4 linked regions of the Drosophila melanogaster genome follow. The protein of the gene in region 3 interacts with the protein of the main gene of each other region in a pairwise test. Each region holds a gene or a part of one and is shown on either strand. Other genes may lie near its edges.

What was found.
Region 1: the proteins of toy (region 3) and D19B interact in a two-hybrid assay, tested with the Drosophila melanogaster proteins (one large-scale study listed by BioGRID).
Region 2: the proteins of toy (region 3) and CG10431 interact in a two-hybrid assay, tested with the Drosophila melanogaster proteins (one large-scale study listed by BioGRID).
Region 4: the proteins of toy (region 3) and LeuRS-m interact in a two-hybrid assay, tested with the Drosophila melanogaster proteins (one large-scale study listed by BioGRID).

Annotation. Positions count from the first base shown.
Region 1 is NT_037436.4:6,181,630-6,186,599, forward strand, and holds D19B (D19B), read right to left. Parts: upstream 3,292-4,970; 5' UTR 3,173-3,291; coding exon 2,302-3,172; intron 2,242-2,301; coding exon 788-2,241; 3' UTR 547-787; downstream 1-546. Other genes in the region: CG10274 (uncharacterized protein), read right to left, coding at 1-138; CG43293 (uncharacterized protein), read left to right, coding at 3,767-4,015, 4,075-4,137; D19A, read right to left, coding at 4,752-4,970.
Region 2 is NT_033779.5:18,972,701-18,978,687, reverse strand, and holds CG10431 (uncharacterized protein), read right to left. Parts: upstream 3,979-5,987; 5' UTR 3,912-3,978; coding exon 3,841-3,911; intron 3,784-3,840; coding exon 1,566-3,783; 3' UTR 1,492-1,565; intron 1,426-1,491; 3' UTR 501-1,425; downstream 1-500. Other genes in the region: Swip-1 (Swiprosin-1), read left to right, coding at 1-333; L2HGDH (L-2-hydroxyglutarate dehydrogenase), read left to right, coding at 4,650-4,771, 5,229-5,987.
Region 3 is NC_004353.4:988,185-992,759, reverse strand, and holds the start of toy (twin of eyeless), read right to left. Parts: upstream 3,036-4,575; 5' UTR 2,509-3,035; coding exon 2,258-2,508; intron 695-2,257; coding exon 514-694; intron 1-513.
Region 4 is NT_037436.4:4,824,075-4,829,588, reverse strand, and holds LeuRS-m (Leucyl-tRNA synthetase, mitochondrial), read right to left. Parts: upstream 3,737-5,514; 5' UTR 3,637-3,736; coding exon 3,547-3,636; intron 3,495-3,546; coding exon 1,703-3,494; intron 1,645-1,702; coding exon 1,403-1,644; intron 1,347-1,402; coding exon 861-1,346; 3' UTR 551-860; downstream 1-550. Other genes in the region: CG13708 (uncharacterized protein), read left to right, coding at 1-497; Dhc64C (dynein heavy chain 64C), read left to right, coding at 4,018-4,261, 5,428-5,514.

The sequences.
Region 1 (4,970 bases), on a different chromosome or scaffold from region 3:
ACACAGTTTCTTGGCCAATCCGGGTATCAGGAACAGGTCAAAGGATCCTGCGCCGCCGCCATTCTCCGGCAGGCGATTCAGGCAGATGCGGCACACCGCGTGCACCGAGTACTGGGCTGCCTCGGCCTCCTCCTGCATGATGCCTGTTCCAGGGGGAATCTGCTGGCCAAATCCGCGGAATATTAAGCCGAGAAAAACTTTACGCGTCAGACGAACCAAAACAAATACCAAAAAATACCCCACAGTGATGCCAAGTACAAACAGTTATTTAATAGCTAAATTATTAAACCGGCTAGAAATATGGATAGCATCAATAACAAATTTCAAATGTTTTAAAAAATATGTGCCATTTTAAGTGTGATTCTTAATAAATGTATGTATTAACCTAAATTAAATACGTAGTTTTATATGTGTCTCATATAAGTTGCATAGCTAGTGGAATGTAGCTAAAAAACAGACGAGTTGGCAGCATTACAGCTCACCTCTGTCTTGTTTACCAACAATACCCGCTTACCAGCACTGGGGCGAATTTAAAATTCAAATGTTCAATACTTATTACTGTTTATTATATTAAATCATTGTTAAATGAATACAATTAGTAAAGTACAAACTTAAGCAGTTTAAAGGGGGGATTTAAATACAAAAAAGATCAAATTGCAAAGTGACGAAAACTAGTTGGTAATCCTTAGAGAACTATAACTCATATGTCCTTCATAGAAACACATAATGAAATGATCGGAAACGGAGGCCGGGTTTGCTCGCAAGCATTTCCGTTTGATTCTGCCGCTCAAACATGATCCAACTTCAGTGCGTCCACTGAGGTGCCCTCCGCCTCCGCCTTCTGCGCGTAGAAGCCGTCGTAAGTGTTCGACTGCTTCTGCAGCTTGTTTAGCTGCTCGAAGGCAGCCTCCTGGATCTTCCGGAGCTCCGCCTCCGCCTTGCGCTTGGCCTCGTTCTCCTCGATCTGGTAGGCCAGCAGCTCGGCGGTGGCCGCTGCCCTTTCCGCCGCCGGATCCTGGTATTGCTCGAAATTCTTCGGCTGCTGGCGCTTCACCGCGGTGCTGGACTCCGCCTTGGGTCCAGCCGGCTCCTTGGGCTTGCCAGGCGGACGGGGCGGCTTGTCGTGCACCTTCATATGCGTCTTGAGCACCTGCTCCTGCCGGAAATGCTTGCCGCACACCTTGCACTCGTAAGGCTTTTCGCCAGTGTGTATGTACTCGTGGTGCCGCAGGTACTGCTTCTTGGCGAATCTCTTCGGGCAGAAGCGGCAGCAGAAGTCTTTGACCTTTTGATGCACCACCTTGTAGTGCAGCTTCATGTTGCTCACGTGATTGAAGCCCTTGCCGCAGTCCGGGCAGATATGCTGGCCCTCCTTCTTGGTGAAGTTCACTTGCGGCGACCACGAGGGCAGGTTGACCGATGGAATTGGATTGGCCACCGTTCCCGCCAACTGAGCAATGTCCACCCGCTCGACGCGACCACGCAGGTGCGGACTGGGCTTGGCTATTGTCGAGGATCCACTGGCCCCGTCGCCCATTAAGGCATTGGTCCCCTGCGTCTTGGGCAAATCACGCTTCTCGTGCGTCTTCAAATGCTTGGTTAGGCCCTTCTCGAAGAGGAACACCTTGCCGCAGATCTTGCACTCGCAGCACTTTTCGCCGGTATGACTTCTCTCGTGAATCTTGCAGGCGTGCGACTTGCCAAAGGTCTTTCCGCAGTACTGGCAGGCAAAGTCCTTGCGCTTCTCGTGCACCACCTTCACGTGGTTGGCCAGCGCCTGTTTGTTGTGGGAGGCGTGGTCGCACTGCCGGCACTCGTACTTCTTCTCCTTCGTGTGGGTAAGGATGTGCTTGTTCCACTCCTGGCGCGTCGTCTTGCCCACTCCGCAGTACGGGCACACATGGTTCTTGATGCCCGCATGGCGCAGCAGATGGTCGCGCAGCACACTATTGATGGGGAAGCGCTTGCCGCAAATTTCACATGCGAAGGGCAGCTCCTCGCCCGTGTGCTTGTACATGTGCTTCTTGAGGGCAGTGGGGCAGCGGAAGACCTTCTCGCACTCCGTGCAGGGGAAGTCCCTCTGCGGGGTGTCCACCTTGTGCACGCGTTTCATGTGGAAGCTGAGCAGCACGGGCCGGGCAAAGGACTTGTTGCAGCCCTCGTAGGTGCACGGATGCATAGCCGATGTCTCCGTGTGGGCGTGCTCCACATGGACGCGCAGTCCATTGGCGGTGGTAAAGCCTGAAATTGGAAAAATAATCACATAAATCTACTTCTCGAGGATCTGCGGGCGGAGTTTACCTTTTCGGCAACTCTCGACGGTGCACTGGAAGGGTAGCAAGTCGTTGTGATGCTTCATGTGCTCCTCGTAGCGAATCGCCTTCTTGAACTTCTGGTGGCAGATGTGGCAGTCAATCAGGCGGTGGCGATCCCGCTCCGTAGCAGGAATCCTCTTGCGTTTGGGCTTGTCCTTCGGATTGCCATCGGAGTCGTCTGATGAGCTGGTCTCCTCGGACTCCTCGGATTCCTCCTCCTGTCGCTTGGCAGCCGACTTCGGCTTGCCCTTCGCCTTGGAACCACGAGTGGCTCCACGCCGGCTGCGCTGGGCCAGTGGAATGTCGTCGTCACTACTGATTTGGAAGTCTGCGTCGAGGTCGTTGTCGTTGCCGCTCTCGAAGGAGTCATCCTGAGATACTCGGCCAAACGGCTGTTCCATCTCCATCTCCACCTCTTCGACCTCCTTTTCGACGGACTCGAGCATCTTGAAGACGTCCTCCTCGTTCTCAATGATCTCGATCTTGGAGTTGAGCAGCGGATCGAAGTGCACGTTGTCCTCTTCCTCGCCCGGCAGATCCGCCACAGCGGCACTGGTGTCCAGAACATCGAAGTTTGTTTGGCAGGCGAACGCGTTGCTGGCCACCAGATCTTGGAACTTTTGAACGGAATCGACGCACTGCTTCTGAAAGTCGTGCAGGTCGTTCAGCTTGGAGAAGCAGACATTGCACAGGTTCTTGGGAAAGCCATCCGCCTGCTCCACGGACAAGGAGGTGCACACGCACAGCTTTTTGGCCAGACCGGGCACTCGGAACAGATCGTAGGCCGCCGAGTCGTCCACCGTGGACAGGCAGGTGCGGCACACCGTGTGTATGGAGTACTGGCTCTCCTCATTCATTTTGGACACTCAATTCGATGCTGGACGATCCCGAAAGCCAGAAATCGCGAAAACCACAGCAATTCGAAATGTTCTTTCGCCGAGAAAAAAATCCAATACAACACACATTTGTGTGTACTCGCGTGTGCGTGTGTGTGTGCACTCGTCAGCAATTCGGGTTATCGATTACCCGCAAGCGACGAGTACGCTCGCTGAAAAACTGCGCAGCTCTAGCACTCGCCACCCACACTCAGGCGTTTTGTTTTGTTTTTCCCATTCACATGCATGTGCGCAGCGGAGAGGGTACGATGGGCGTATTAGACCCAGCGAGTGTGTGTATTCGTAGTCAAGTCACACAGTCGAGTGAGACTGCCGGACAGCTACGAGCACAATACTAGCACTAGATCAATACAATACAAAGAGTCTGAGAATTTAAAATAAAAAATACATATGTCTTAGTTTAAATATTAAATACATTTTTAAACAAATATAAATTTTTTAAGGATTTTCAAAATACCTTAAATCGTTGGTATGTCTATAAATATGGTTGTATCAATTGTTTCTATAGCAGCTTTATTATTATTTGTCATGCTGAGTAAGAGTATACAAAAAAAAATGGAGCAACAACCAGACAAGGATTCCGTAAAAGCTCTCGAAGCTGAAGTTAAGGTATTGGACACTGAACTGGCACTGCAACATGCCGGGAATAGAAGAAATAGGCTTAAACTGGAGATCGCAGAGTTGGAGGAGGTCCTGGAGAAGCAGAGTATAGCATTGAAGAAGGCCAACAAAAACAGGAAGGCAGCTAAGATAATTATCTCAAGTTTGATGGATTTGAATCAGACGGATGGTAATAACTGGACAGTTAAGTCATCAACTAAGTTTTAAAGATGTATTACATAAGATTAACCAATTTGTTTTAGGAGTCAAATAATCCTTCAGACAATGAAGGGTCATCCGAAGATTTCGACGTGGATGCAGAATAGAAACTTTTCCAGTAAAATCCCCCTTTCACATCATTTCGTTCAGCAAAATGTTTCTTAATATTCGATTAAAAATCAATTATCATCTTTATTTGTCTAAATTTAAAGAACGGAATATATGAAATAAAATTCAGCATAACCATCCAGATGGATTTCAGCTAAAAATGACTTATTTTAATTAAATTAAGGTTTGATTAATGTTCTTGCGGGCTAAAAAATTTGTTTTTTGTTATTAAAATATATTTGTAAAAATCACTGGTATTGCAAAGTGGTCTCTTAGTCCCGCCCACCAGATGGAAACTCCAATGGCGTTATGAATATTACTTTTAATCCATTACTCTAAGTAAGCACGGGAGATATTACACGGAAAACAAAATAATACATATATTGCATGTATGTATAAACGTAGTACGTAAAAAGTATGAAGTGTTCATATTGTAATATGCACTCGAATAATCTGGAGTGCCTATAAACCTACAATCTGATCCAGCTAGAGAGCAATTCGAGGCATGCCTACAACTTTTCCGGACAGTGTCAGCTGCATTGGAAGTGGATACATATGGATGTGGCTAGGTTATGATGCATATATGCTAGTAAAGTAAAGCCAATCCTGCTGCCTAGACGTGGTCGATCTTCAGGGCATCCAGGCTGGTGCCCTCGGATTGCGCTTTCTGCGCATAGTAGCCATCGTACGAGGTGGTCGCCTTGATGATCTCCTGCTGCTGCTGCAGCTTCGTCAGCTGCTCGCAGGCCGCCGCCGCGATCTTCTGCCGCTCAATTTCCGCCTTCCGCTTGGCCTCGTTCTCCTCCAGCTGGTGCGCCAGCAGCTCAGCGGT
Region 2 (5,987 bases), on a different chromosome or scaffold from region 3:
CTGGGACTCAAGCAGATGATTGCCGAGGTGGACGAGGATAACGATGGCAAGATTTCATTCCGAGAGTTCTTGCTGATCTTCAGGAAGGCCCAGGCCGGGGAACTGGACTCCGATTCTGGGCTGAATCAGCTGGCCCGCCTCACGGAGGTCGATGTGGAGCAGGTGGGAGTGAGCGGAGCCAAGAACTTCTTCGAGGCGAAAATTGAGCAACAGCTGCGGACGAACAAGTTCCACGACGAGATTCGGGCGGAGCAGGAGGAGCGCCGGCGAGAGGAGGAGGAGCGGGCCCAGCGGCGTCAGCAGTTCCAGCAGCGGGCAGCGATCTTCCAGTAGAGGACTTAGGTTCGCCCTTAGTCTAGCGAGTAATTATCTGGCGTAGGTTAATCGAATGTGGAACTAATCCCGGGAGAAGAGGATACGCTTCGTACAAGCATTTTTCAAGCATCACATACTCTAATTATATTCATACTTATCGCCCCATACATATAAAAACTCGATTTGCTGGCAAAAACATCTTGGGAATTGAATGTTATCTTTGACTAATGTTTGTTTTGGATCTTTGAAGTACCCATCACAACTTATCAAGTAACAAAATATAACGTTCAATTTCTAATATATATTTTTTTAAAACCAACCAAACTGAGCCACTCTAGCCAGGGACATATGCATACATACGTACATTAATAACGATCATACCAAAAGCGTATTTATAGTTAACCTTTAGTTAAGTTTAAAATGTTTTAGATTAAGAACTACTTTATTGTTTGGTGTTGCGCAAAATTTCATTGTTGAATTACGTTTATCCTTGAGGGTTCTCCAAAATGTATGCTTTTTACTTTATGATTTTGTACTTTTAGTGCCATTTTTATGTTCTTCGTTTTAGTTTTGTTAAAAATAAAATTGATAGTTATATTAAGCAAATAAACTTGTGAAATTCAACCTTCTTTGTATATACTAATCCTATGTTGGCAGTCAATCTTAGTTTTTTGCTTGGATCAGCCTAAAGTAAAACAATAAGTTTCGATTCAGTATTTCACGTTTAAAGTTAGCGATTTAAGCAATACTAATGCGTTAAATACGAATACACAAGAAAATACACGTACTTTTAGAGAACGTTTACTACAAACTTATACTGCAATTTAAATAAATAAATGTATATAATACAAAATATTTAAGATCGCCTTTAGTTTTCCCCCTTTCAACCTTTTCAAAAATGTTGTTCCGATTTGCGAAACCTCGTTCCTGCTCAATGAAGCGTCGGTTTAATTAGGTTAAATTACTTATTGTAAGTAACCTTGACTAGCGCCAATTTCATTCCCGCTGCGAACCCTTCATCACCTTGCGTGCCGTACTGGAAGACCACCAACTAAGTACCCCATAGAGTGACTAGGCTTAATGCATTTAGTGCATCGAGATTCAGATCATCTGTGGAAAGAAAATTGTAGTGGCGTGTTATCGCACATTGTTTTTTAGAAAACAAATTGGTTTTACCTCCAAGATTATAGCATTTGCTTGAGTAAATACCATTTCCTTGTCCAATCGTGAGTCATCTCCAGGGCTTCCTGTTACTCCCCGGCAGCTGGACCTTTTCGCAGGGAATGCCTGCACCTCAGCATATCGCATTTCAGGGCGTAGCGATGCTGGCAAACCGGACACTCATGCGGCTTGAGCTGCAGGTGGTAGCCCTTAATGTGTTGAGACAATCCGTTGCGTCGCTTGAAGACCCGCTCACAGATGCCGCACTTGTGTTGCCGCTCCGTCGAGTGGGTGATGTTATGCTGGCGTAGTCCGTTGAGCGAACCGAATGATTTTTTACAAATATTACACTCAAATACTTGGGTGGGCGTAACTTTCTTTTTCGAATTCATTGCCGTCTGCACCTTAGTTTTGGATTTTTTGGGCCTGCAATTGAGTTCATGACGACGATACAGGCGCCAGTGGGCAAAGGCGATGGCCTGGCAGTGGCGACACTTGAAGCTCTGAAGGCGCCGATGGTTTTTGAGCGACAACGATTGACATATGTATCGCATATGCTGGCGAAGACCCAAGCGGGATCGAAAAAACTTTAGGCAACCAGAACAGCGTCCTGAAAAATTGGGTATTAACTTTACAAAGTGTGCTTTCTGACGACGGTGGTGGTGTAAGTTCTTAAACTTTGAAAATCCCTTCCTGCACATCCGGCACACATAGGTTTTTCTGTGCACCTTCCTTGGTGACTTCAGTTTTTTGCATTTCAGCTGCAACTTACGATACCTGTTAGCCAGTTTAGCGTAGCTAGCAGTCACTGCAACCAGTTGAGGATCAGGTGCGGGTGCTGACAGTTGAGTGGCTGTCGGTATAAGGTCTTTGTGATGCAGGAAACTACTCTGCATATCTAGTATATCAATCTTTTTCCTAGGTTGCTTGGATACAGGACTATTATGCCACTCCAACGGCCAGTATTCGGATTGTTCAGTGGCCACAAGACCTCTGTTGCTTTCCATTTTCATTGGAGGGTTCATGGTTAAGCTGGGAAGGCATATATTCATCGGAGGAACACTAACCATGGGAGTGGAATTACTGTGACTGTGTGCATAATGCTGATTTAAGCTATCTATTGTTATAAATTTGGCAGTGCACAAAGTGCAGTTGTGAAGCCGAAAAGCCGCTGAGGATTCGACCACACTATCGTTAAGTACCACGATGTTGGGTTTGATCGACGTGGGAGGAGCAGGCTGTGGCAGCAGCTCGCAGATCATTGGGTTAGGTATCTGGCTTACATTGGTCACAATGGGCTTGCATGAGCGCGGTTCGGGGGCCGAGGGAGGGTCTATATTATCCTGAAGAGGAGGGGGATCAGCAGGCGGAGGAGCTGCGTCTGGCGCAGCATCCGTTCCCTCCACCTTTTCCGTTTTGTACTGATGCGGGGGTAGTTGCCACTCCTCCTTCGCATAATTGTGCTCTTCGGTTAGGAGTTCGTTTTGCAGCATTTCATTAGCCGTTCTTCCAGGCTGTAGTCTCTCCGACTGTCCCACATCCGCATCGTCTGGAATATTGATAAACGGATCGTCCAGATTGATTATCTCCATGATATCACAATTGTTGATAATGTCTTGGGCATTTAGCATAGGGAACTCGCAGAACTGAAACTTTTGTTCAGTTTCTTCCTGATCGCAGCCATCGTCCTGCTCCAAACCCATGTCCAGTTCATCAGGAAAAAGATTGTCCAAGCTCTCGCAGGCCTCCTGTTTCACACGAACCAAGGGTTCCTGTTTGATTTTCAGTTGTCGGCGGTATTTTCTTTGCAATTCACTCTGCGCCAACATCACCACATCGATGAACTGGGAAAAGCGCTCCAATTGGAGGCAGCACTCCTGGCATATTTCCTTGGGCAAGGTGTCGTCCTGAAGAATCTGTAGCGTAGGAAAGCACTTCTGGATCATGCCAAAGAGCTCAAAACTCTTGTCAAACGAGGAGCAATTGATGGCCGAGGAACCACAAAAGCGGCAAGTGGCTTTAACACCTGTTGCTGCTGATTCGGCGGCACTAGAAAGAGTTTGCTTGTGCGTTGGCCTATTGCTTGGGGACACCTGTTCCAAGTGCCCACTCATGGAGTCATCTTCCGAAACCCTAATTGATGGCACAGCATTTTTCTTAAGCGTTTTCCGATTATTGCTGCAATTAAAGTCCTCATCACCAAAGTGCCGACTGCACAGCGCACTCCATTTTGAGGGCATCCACTGAGCACTCCTCTGGGTAAATTCCTTCCATTTCTGTAGAAGATCCTTCCGTTTGAATGGAAATCTTTGGGAGAATAGAAGCTATAGTGTAATCTTGTCAATTGAAAATCAACTCACTTACCTGTGAAATGAAATGCTGCCCGCGTGCACATACTTATGGCTGCAATTTATCACGGCGCAGTGGGCGGGCATCTTAAGGTATTTATGGTACAATAATTTGTAATAATTTGCAAATTTCTGTTGTTTACATCTGTGAGCTAGCTGTTGTTTGCTAAATCAGCTGGTTTTGTTTTGCTTCTGAAGTGTTCAGTGTTGGAAAATGCGTCTCACATATTGTTGATAGCGGTCTTTTTTCTTGCAGTTCTGAATTAATAACGAAACTTTATTCATTTGTGTTTGCTATCAAATACGACCAAATATAATGGGATTCCGTATCGAATAAAAGCAAATTTAGGGTTAAAATTATATGTTTGTTTCTTGTAAATACTTTTTAGTCGAGTAATCAGCATGATCGTATAACCTGAAATATTTAAAATGAAATAAAAATTTTAATATTGTTAGATTACAGAAAATTTGCAAAATGGCAGCTGGGCACATTAAATCTTATCAACAAACCGAACAGCTGACACACACGTCCTTACCCAACCACCCCCTTTCAAAAATAATCCGTCACACTTATCAATTAGCGCGTTTATGATCGCCCCTCGGCCCCACAAATCGCCCAGATGCTCGGCCCGTGAGCATATTTATTTTCTCTCGCCCCACGGAAAACTTCCACGGGCTTCAGTCTGTCGATTCGCTCGAAAGCGCGCTGTACGCACAAGTTGGCGGAGGAGAAGGCAAGGTCAAGCAAGGTCTTTCTTTTCGGGTTGGTAAATAATCTAAATTCTACGTGCGTGCGCGGGTGGTGAAAGCATAAAAGAAAGAGAAATGGCTCAGGTGCGACTGCTGGTACAGGGACTTCGGCGTAGCCTACTCAATGTGGGCGTGGCCGCGCCCAACGAATCCACAGCGACCCACAAAAGATCGCAGCACAGCTCGTCGAGCTGCGGGTAAGTCTCTTGAGATTACGATAGGGTTCTCTCATTTTCGGGGGTGTTCCGATCCTAAGAATCTTTTCACTGTTTGCAGAATATCATTTAGGTGTTCCAAATGAGCTAAGTAAGCTTCTTTTCATTTAGAATGCGCTTTTAAAATCATGTTTAGTTAAGCAATGTATATTCTATTTACTTTTGTATTCTTAATTGCATAGCATAGTCTTTTCACTGCAATCTGCAGCCTTTATCTTACTTATTAGTTCCCAAGATCTCGACGTTCTTGCGGTCTGACAGTCGATGAACATATTGATATGGCTAGATCGACTTGACTGATGATCCTAATCAAAAACGTGCCCGCACACTCTTTACTCTAACGGATATACAAACATCTTTCTAACTTTTAAAAACTTTAGAAGTCTTAAGTTTATTTAATTTTTGAGGCTGTTAGCTGATATGTTTTGTATTCCCTCAGAGATTATGATCTGGTTGTCGTTGGTGGTGGCATCGTCGGCGCCGCATCTGCCCGGGAGATTGTCCTGCGCCATCCATCCCTCAAAGTGGCTGTCCTGGAGAAGGAGTGCAAGCTGGCAAAGCACCAGAGCGGCCACAACTCCGGCGTCATCCATGCTGGCATCTACTATAAGCCTGGAACCCTGAAAGCCCGCCTTTGCGTGGAGGGCATGCATTTGGCCTACGCTTATCTGGATGAAAAAAAGATCCCGTACAAGAAAACCGGGAAGCTAATTGTGGCCACGGATGAGAAAGAAGTGAAGCTGCTGAAGGATTTGGAGAAGCGTGGCATTGCCAACAACGTACCGGATCTGCGAATGATCGAAGGCAGCGAGATTCAGGAGATCGAACCCTACTGCCAGGGAGTGATGGCGCTCCACAGTCCGCACACTGGTATCGTTGACTGGGGATTGGTTACCGAGCATTATGGTCAGGATTTCAAACAGTGCGGTGGTGATATCTACCTGGACTTCAATGTCAGCAAGTTTACCGAGACCAAGGAGGGCACCGACTACCCAGTGACCATCCATGGCGCTAAGCCCGGTCAAACGGTTCGTACCAAGAACGTATTAACCTGTGGCGGTTTGCAATCCGACCTGCTGGCTGAGAAGACTGGATGCCCCAGAGACCCCCGCATCGTGCCTTTCCGTGGAGAGTATCTGCTGCTGACCAAGGAAAAACAGCATATGGTCAAGGGTAATATTTATCCGGTGCCGGATCC
Region 3 (4,575 bases):
CGAGTAACTGTATCATTAATCAGAGTTTTTAAGAGAACAGGAAAACAACTATAAATAGCTTAAAGCTATAAGGCTCTATTAGAAAATTCGTTTGAAACAATCTTCCAGCTTTAAACTTCTAAAATTTTTAACTTAAGACAGAAAGAGAGGTACAGACTGGTCCTAGATCCATCCTGATCATGAATATACATATATATTTTTAAGGATCGAAAACGCTTAAAATGGTATGTTAGAACTTTTATTAGTCAGATCAGAGTTTTTAAGAGAACAGGAAAACAACTATAAATAGCTTAAAGCTATAAGGCTCTATTAGAAAGTTAGTTTGAAACAATCTTTCAGCTTTAAACTTCTAAAATTTTTAACGTAAGACAGAAAGAGAGGTACGGACTGGTCCTAGATCCTGATCATGAATATACATATATATTTTTAAGGATCGAAAACGCTTAAAATGGTATGTTAGAACTTTTATTAGCACGTGCAGAAATATTATTATGTGCGCAAAATATAACTTACACTTGGAATGTTATCACTATTGCAAACTTGTTCCGATAGCAGTCGATCTCGTATTTCCCACGCAAATATGCTGGGACATTCCCGTTTGTAATCTGCAATTTTTTGCACAACCGGGGTTGTAGCTACTCGTGGCTTTGAACCACCTATAGCTCGAGGTTTTATCGATCCAGTTTCATAATATCTAAAAAAAATAAACTTATTTACATTTTATCTGAGTAGTCATTAAAAGTAGATAATAGAATAAACAATGAATATACAATCAATTTAGATTTGGCTGTATATTTTCTTATTTTGCAAAGAACAGAGAATTTAAAAATACGTTCTTCTTAAGATATGATTTTGATTTTTATGTATTATGATCATAAATGGTGAATGTGTTTCAATAATCAGAGTCACACAATGAGAGATTGGGATGGGGGCCTGATTTCAAATTTTCATATTACGAAAATCATTGATTTTCTTACTCTAAAGTATTTATAATAGAACTGCTAATATCTGATTAGTTCCAATTATGTAACTTAGTAGTCGAAAGCCGTAAATATTCTCGGGAAGAGCAGTGCTTATAGTAAAGTAAAAAAGGACATTCCTCTAGTATTGATTGAAAAATCCTCTTTCCAAAATGTTAGATGAGCACAAAAAAACAATTCGGAGTGCAGTGCTTGTAAATGCGAGCTGCAACTTGTAAAAAGAAAAGCGCAGCGATTCATTAGTGGTGACAATGCTAAACGCCGTCGAAATGTTTAGCGTCGAGATAATAAAAACTATAAGCAAACCTCAGCGTCAACAGTCAACACTTTCAGTTGTAGACATTAAATTAGTTAAATGCAGCCGGTATATAAATATTTTGCGAATGGCATATAGGATTGAATATAGAATATATGCTAAACAAAATAACATAAGTATTAATTAGAAGCCAGGGGAGAAATGTATTTGTTAGTGTTGTACAATGGACAGCACTTGCAATACGGACACCAATAACGCCGTAAAGAGGTTCTTCCAACAAACAAATTTGGCTACTCGCAAAACAGATGCTAAGCAAGTTCTCTTTAATCATACGCAGTCTTACGATCATTGGTTAGTTGATACGAAATAGACTAGGAGGCATTCGGATCTTATGCATATAGAAACTACTGAAACGTTAGTAAGGCCATTAACTTACCAAAAACAGAGAGAATGCTATAGTCGAATTCCCCGACTATACGACTAAATACGAAAGCAAAATTGTGTTATTTTTCTGGGATCCGTTTTTTGCGTTTTGTTGGTGTAAGAAGGGGTGTGGCGAAAGTGTTTTTGGTATACCGATAGAAGACAAACAATAAAACGATTAAAAATCAACACTTTTTTTAAAAGTGTTGGCAATATGGGTCAACAAACTTGCGCTACGTCCATATCTCTACAATCAGTATGCCTAATTCCAACCATCTAGCTTTTATAGTTCCTGAGATCGAGACATTCATACGGACAGACGGAATATATACATACTTCATATGGTCGGGAACGCATCCTTCTTCCTGTTGCATACTTTTCAACAAATCTAATATACCTTTTGACTCTTTGAGTAACGGGTATAATAATCGAATCTTTCATATTTTCCAAATTTAATATCACTCCCTGGTTTAAACGCAGTGCTTATATAATAAAGTCCGAAGTCAGAAATTTTAGCTGAGCAGTTTGTTTGTTGGAGGCTACTTTCGTAGTTCCTGTTTAGTTAAGAAAATGTCATTATGCACTCGAAATGCCTCACCTGCCCAAAATTTTGCTTACGCAACCGTTGGACACTTGTAGTATTCTTGAAATATCACAAGGACGTGCGCCGGAATGAGCCAATTCGACAATTTTTTGACGCGTTGAATCGGGCAGTGGCCGGCCATTAACATATACGCCGCCCAGCTGATTTATTCCGCTATGGCCCGCCGTGGAGCACCCAAATAGAGTACTCTGCCCGACTGACGAGTGGGGATGCCCATGCATTATGTGTTCAGTTGTTAGCATCATAATTAATTATTTTTAATGCGGCGTTGGAGACTTCGACGGTGGCTGACGTGCGTATGTTTATTATTGAAAGTGAGAAAGTAGGATTACTCCCTTTTTCATTGTTGTTAGAAGGGGGGCTTCGTTGCCAACTTTGTACATCCCATATATATTATCTTCTTCACCTGGTAATCAAACTCCAGACTATCACTTCAGACGTTTTAACATTTATCACTTTTTACTTGCCAGGATATGAACTTTCACTTTATGAGTTTTGTTTTAAGTGTGCACGATGGAAAGCGTTAAAGTGTTTTAAAACTGTATCATAGATCGTTTATGAAAATGGTCCCGATATTTTCCGTCGAAAGTACGGGTCCGCAGCCCGGCGGCAGCGCCACGGATGGCGACCTAGTTTATTAATCTGGGAATAATTTGCATTCAAAATGATCGAATAGTGACGTAGGTATCGGTTTAAGCTTGAACAAAAATTTCTTTTGCTAACTGGTTTCAGTGACGAGGTGCGCACTTAGCCAAGCGAAACGTTAATGAGCTCTCATGCGAAAAAACACTGGCAAGAGCAACGGCTAACACATCGGCCAGCCATTTTGGCGGCGTTGCTCTAGTTGTCTCTTTTCATTTGCAGTCAGCGATAGCTAACAACGTTGCTGTTTTCCGTGCCGTGAAAAGAGATAGCTATAGAGACATGAGGAAGAGAGGCATTACAACAAAATCCATCGTGCGCACATCTGGCAAATAGGAGTTGCGTAGGAAAGAGACGGCTATGGAAGAAAGAAAAGTGTACCCTATCCGCTTGAAAATCTTTTTGAAGTTTTGGTTGGTTGTTAAATATATCGTGGGCAACTTTAACATTATGGATTCAGCGATAATAACGCTGGAAAATAAAACTGAATTTATATAAACATAGATGGTTGTGTATATGTGTAAGTCTTATTCATCATTGTATGCATATGTTTGGTTGTGATGATATTTTATCATGTTTAATGCACTTAATCCCTAAAATATTTGATTATATAACCATGTATCCAAAAGTTTAAGAATCTGATCATTCTGAATAACATACAATCTAATCGTTTGCCATACCTTTGTTTTAAAAAAGTATAGAACGACTAGTTATTTATTGCCCTGTATCAATTCCCCATCTTTACGTTAAGTATTATTATATTTCTGATGTCGGTTGTGTTAATATACAAAAATACATTCACATATAAAAACTATGAGTGCATTTTATTAGTTTTAATTTAAATTTAAAATTGAACAGCAATAAAAACGTATTCAGGAAGGTCAAACAGTATCAGGAGTTCAAAATGCCTTGCCTTACCTGTAGCGTGATCTGCGTGACTTGGGCTTGAGATGAAGTTTGTATTGTTAACTTTAAAGAGTATTTAGTATTTGTAAATTTTTTGTTGTATATCTATACAAAATATTAAATATGTAAATACATAAATTGTCTGTTCTGCTACTTCTGCTTGTATTTACATTTTCGATATCTATTATTTACAGAAATTAAACCCCCAAGTAACAGCATTCAAAACCTAAACCACCCCAAAAAGCCACCACTGAGCTTACTTGCTCTCAACATCCTGTCCGACACGTTTTTTGGATTTTTGAAGTCACACGCATCAACGAATCTATTTCCCCTTCCACCACAATTTCCATTATTGTAGTGCCGGCATCCAGTGTGCTGGGCTTCTTCAAAGGGGCATATTCTTGAATCGCCTTTTTGTCATTCCTATTGCGTGTGCCAAAAATTTCATGGCGCATTGTAAAGGTGACGAATCTGATTTTCCTGGAATGTGTGAAAATACCTTAATTTATATTATTTAGCGTAGTGTCTGGGCTGCAACAAATGCATATAACCATTAAATTTTGCACTCATGATATTTGATTTTTCTTGCGTACCTACTTACTAGTAGAGTCTCTATCGATATGCTAAACAATAATTTAGCCACGTCTACTCTAAAGCCTACATTTTGTTTGATGTTTTTTTAATTTCAATATCTTTATCAATGTGTAAAATAGAATGTCAGAAGGAAGCGCCTACATAAAGTATCTGTATTCTTGGTCAGGGCC
Region 4 (5,514 bases), on a different chromosome or scaffold from region 3:
AGGAGGTAACCGAAGCGGAAGTGGAGGCTGCGAATGCCATGTACGTTGGACTCTCTGACCTGGTTCTGTGGTCCATGCCCGAGGTAATGCTGCAACCGCTTTTGGCGAGACTGCGTCTGGATGAAACCTGCACGGCCAGCAAACTGTCTCCTAAAGAGTGGCTCCTACGGCCGGACAACAAGTCCCTGCGACTCGTGGTGGGAAAAGAGGCACTCCAGTGGAAGAAGAACGCTGGTGGTGGAGCAGGAACTTCCACCTCAATGAATATAAATCAAGGGACGGAAGCGGGAAGCACTGCCATGGCGCCCAGTGTCCGAGATCGAGGTCGCCAGCACTTTGCCCTTCTGCTGGAGAACACTTGCAACGCCGTGGAGAAGCTGCATAAACTGGAAACTCTTTGGCCAAGTATGCTTCTTGATATCGTCCGAAATACGCTGCTGGATTACGCCCAGCTAGATGTCTACCTGCGGAATCTCATGTGCGAGCTGTTGAAGTGAGAGGCCGTTCCAACAAATGAAAATTTATGAAATTATTAGTCGATCTGGCTTTTAGATAGAGGCGCACAGGTAGAGCAACCATTATATTCCTATGATTCTAGGCATTTACCAATCCTGTAAAGCAGCTGCTTACAACTAGTCCAATTTTTATAAATATTTAACATTAAACATGATTAAAAAGTACCAATCTAGGATGGCGCCTTTCTGGCCAACACCGGAAATGCATTTGGGCAGGTTGAACCCACTCTCCTCCGTAATCCGTTCGGCTTAAGAACTATGATCGCAAGAATATCCTAAAAAGTAGCAACCAAACTTTTACTACTCAACTTTATCTATCCACTTTCACGATACTTTTTCCTTATCCTACGCCTGAGGCTGAGCTTCTGCATCATCGGTGGTCGGCGGCTTTTGCTTCATTTTCGCCTTATCCACATAGATATTCAGAATAGCCTCGATTCCCGGGTAAAGCACAAAATTGGTGGTGCGAATTTTCTTGTCAATTAGGTACGATGTCACCGATTCGGTGTTGAAGGCAATGTCGAGAGCATCACTGTGCGTTACCTTATCCAGATGCGTTCTCTGCACTTTGATTACACAGTTCTCAAATCCATTGACTTTAATGCTAAGGTCCAGATTGTAGGCGGGGTCGATGTCTGGCCAGCGCTGAGCAAGCACATCTTCGCTCCACTGTAACTCCTGACTGGCGGGATTTAGCCTGCCTGGTATCGCCACAAACTTTGACCACAGTTCGGAGGCAAAGTGCGGAGCCATTGGCGCGAGCATGATGATCTGGGCAGCCAGCGCACGTTCAAACTGTTTTCCATGTCGCAGGACATGCTTAGGTGTGCGCTAAAATATTTTTGCATAAGCTGAGATTAGAAAACGGATTTAGTTTTAAGCCTTACCCTGAGAGAATTCGTTAGCCCCTGCATTTTGGAAATTGCCACACTGAGTTGCTGTGCATGGCGGTAGTTAAAGGTGGCTCCTTTCACATAAAAGTTTCGCGCATCGAACAGCTTGGCATCCTCAGCCAGGAACTCTTCACTGGTGGGTACAACATCCGAAGCAGTTTGATCTTCGCGAGCCTGTTGGAAGTCCTGCAGGGTCAGCCAAAGCCGCTTTTGCCAATTAAGGATGCCAGGAAAAGCTGTCGTATACACAGATATATCAAATGGCTATCATATCATATACAACTTAATACTCACTTGCACTGGACCAGTTGCGGTGGGATGTGGGCGCCACATCGGCCAATATGATCAGTCTCGTTGTATCCGTTCCATACTCATTAAACATGTCGCTAGGCTCCACCCCATTCAGCTTTGACTTAGACATCTTTTCCCAGGTCATGACCACGGGCTCTTTGGTTTCCTTTAGCACCGCCTGGTTCTTTTTGGCGTTCACAATCTCCACTTCTGTTTCGGGCACATAACGTCCACTGCCCTTCACCCGGAAGGAGCGACCCATCACCATGCCCTGGACTAGCAGCCGGGAAAAGGGTTCGCTAGTGGGCGAAAGCCCGCAACTGTGCAGGAAGTGGTTTATAAAGCGGGCGTAGTAAAGATGGAGCACGGCATGTTCCTTGCCTCCTATGTACAGATCCACAGGCATAAACTTCTTGGTCAGCGCTGTATCGAAAATGCGTTCGGAATTTTGGGCGTCCAAGTAACGCAAGTAGTACCAAGAGCTGTCCACAAATGTATCCATTGTATCCGTCTCCCTTCGTGCATCCTTCTCACCGCATTTTGGGCAATCACAGAGAAACGCTTCCTTCGGGGAATCCTTCGGAGGCAGAGACACTGGCAGCTGCTCCTCCGGCACTGGCACTGCTCCGCACTTTTGACAGTGTACAATAGGAATGGGAGTGCCCCAATAGCGCTGTCGTGATATCAACCAATCCTTCAGCTTTGAGGATACACGATAGCCGCCAACATTAAGGCGTGTGGCTGCCTGGAGCACCTCTTTCCTTAACATTTCCCAGTTGGCTGGACTTAGGGATTCCTCATCCTTGCCATTTGAAGTAAAAGCCAGTCCATATGAATCCCACAAATCCTTGTCTTCGCCACGGAAGCTGGGGGCTGCCAGGTAAACATCGCTCTTTGGCGGAAATGTCACTTCGTCGCTAAAGACCACAGGCATTGTGGTGCCCGCAAACGGGTTCGCTGCGCTTAGGCTGTCCGCACCCTTTAGCTTTGACAAGTGATGATTGCTGCGGAGCACGAGAAAGGCATGGGGATCTTTTAAATGCTCCGGATGGGTAGTCCACACTCGTAAAAGTCCGGAGGCGGAGGTGAGCAGGTTGAAAGCGTATCCATCACACTCTCCAATCCAGTGTCGCTGCAGGTTAATAATATCCCTCCAGTCGCGAAGCGTGGGATCCTCCAAACCGTCTAGCAATTGTTTGGCATAAGCACTCGTTCGGATAAACCACTGCCTCAAAAGCTTCTTTTCCACCTTGGCGCCCGACCGCCAGGAACAGCCGTTGGCGTCCACCTGCTCATCTGCGAGCACGGTCTTATCAACGGGATCCCAGTTAACAAGAGCCTCGTTCTGGTAGGCCAATCCATGGCGATGGAGCATTAGGAACAGATGCTGCGTCCACTTGTAGTATTTTGGACTGCAGGTGGACAATTCATGGTTCCAGTCAAAGGAGCAACCAAGTCGCTTGAGTTGTTCCTTCATCTGGGCAATGTTCTGCTCCGTCCAGGACGCGGGCTCCACCCCACGCTGATTGGCGGCGTTCTCGGCGGGCAGCCCAAAGGAATCCCAACCCATTGGCTGAAACACATTCTTGCCGCACATTCGCTGGAAACGAGCCACCGAATCGGCTATGGTATAGACGCGCACATGGCCCATGTGAAGATTGCCGGAGGGATACGGGAACATGGAGAGCACGTAGTACTTGTCCTGCGAGTCCTTGGGATTGAACTGTCCTCCACTGAGCTGCTCCCGCCAATGAGCCTCAATCCGGTGCTTGACATCACTGGTTAGCTCTGGATTCTGGAATTTAACAAAGGTCTTATTGCGTTTCTCGGATATATTATGCACCCACATCATTCCGGGTGCAGCTTTGGGTTAGCAGGCGCCGCCAGCTATTCCAGTAGACAGCTCCCCAAGGTCGTGTTCTTCTCAGTGCTTGCATTATACCGGTTTAATTGATTGAATTGCACATTTCACAATTATTGAATAACAAAATAGGAAGAACCCACTGCACTCTACAATCGAACAGCTGTTTCTCTGCATCGAGTTGCCACATCGCTCACGTGGATGGGAATTGCTCTAAGAAATTTTGGCGGGAAGCATTCCTGACTGACTGGTAACATTTCGCCCAGTTCTGTATTCTGATATCTGCCGCAACTATGGTAGCACTGGCTTTTTTGCTTTCGATTTTCAACTGAGTGGCAGGGCCGTTTACATTTTGCGAAAAAAAAAACTCACGTAATTTTTCACAGGGCGAGGCATTGTGAAAAATTAAATTGTACACCTTTTGAGGAGTATTTAATACCGAAAACCTTTGTGGGACATGGGTGACTCCTTGGAGAACCCCGATACATCGGTGGATCCAATCGTGAACCTGTCCATTGCGAACTATGATGCATTTGCCAATTATCTTCGGAAGGCGGTGACCATTTTGCTGCCGGAGGACGATGTGGTTCCCGCATCGCTGAACGATGCTCTGGACGATCCCGTCAACCAGGACACCATCCGGAAGTTCCTCTCGGATCCCCAGGTGCAGGCGCTTTACGTCCAACGCAATTGCATTAAAGGTAAAATAAGAATTCCTGTCCCGTTGGCAAATCTAGGGTGAAAAAATGGTACCTGCACAAAATGGCGTCTTTTTGGCGAAGATAAGAAAGTTGGCAAGCTTTTCAGGCAATCTTTTTGTTATAAGTTCAAAATATTAGTTCCATATGGTTACATTGAGTCATTTATGGGTTTGCTAGCTGAATACGCAACCAGTTTTTTAAAAATCAATTTGGCAGATGTTTGAATTCCAATAAGAAATATTTTTTGGCTTGGAAGTCGAAGCTGGAATACCTTACCATGTCACTAGCAACTTGTATGAAAAATTTTCAAGCATCACAAATTCATACAGTTTTTAAAATTTAAATTCAATTACAAAAATAGGATTATTTTTTATATTACGATATTGCTAAAAAGTGCATTCAGAATTAATCGTAAAATCAGAAGGATAGCAATAATTCATGTTAGTAAATACCAACTGCATTGTAAAATCAGTGTACTGCATTAGAGGGTATAAAAACGGGTTTCTGCGCATGACGTCAGCACATATGATTCACTTCGATAACTATGAGTCGAAAGTCGCGGCAGGGCGATAAGTGCTAACAGCTGTTTTGCCGCTTGCCGGCTTTGCTTGTTTACAAGCAATTCGCCGGGAAACAGCTGGTACCTGCCAAGCAACCAGTTTGTTTACGGAAACGACCTTGGAGGCTGCGCACACCTTCCGCCGCTTCAATAGCTTTGGGAGCGACATTGACATTGGCCGAAGGCAATGCCATCGGCACATTGACATTGGCAACGGGGCCAACAGCGCGGGAGCAATGACATCGCCAAGGTCCAGCCTTGAGCGCACGAATTTCGAAGGTTTTTCCTTGGACGCTTAATTTCCGTAGGTCAACACCTTGATAATGAAATCATGCCAATGCCGTGCCATTGAGTCCAATGCCAGGTGGGCAGTAGAATGCCACTGAAAGTGGGTGAGGGGTAAATGTGGAGCCAGACATGATAAACGTAATCAACGGGAATTAGTTTTCCTTTGAAAGTTCAATAATGGACGAATAAGTCAACGGATTTATTTCAATTGGCTAATAAAAAAAACCATTTTTTATTACCATATTTATTATACGTTTAATGTATTAACTGGGTGGGCCCATTATGAAATTCGATTGTTAACCAACTTATTCATTTTCAGAGGACGATTCTGAGCAGCCGGCGGAGGGCGAGGACGAGAAGGAGCAGGTAACCTACCAAATCAGCAACGATGTTCACTTCACCAACA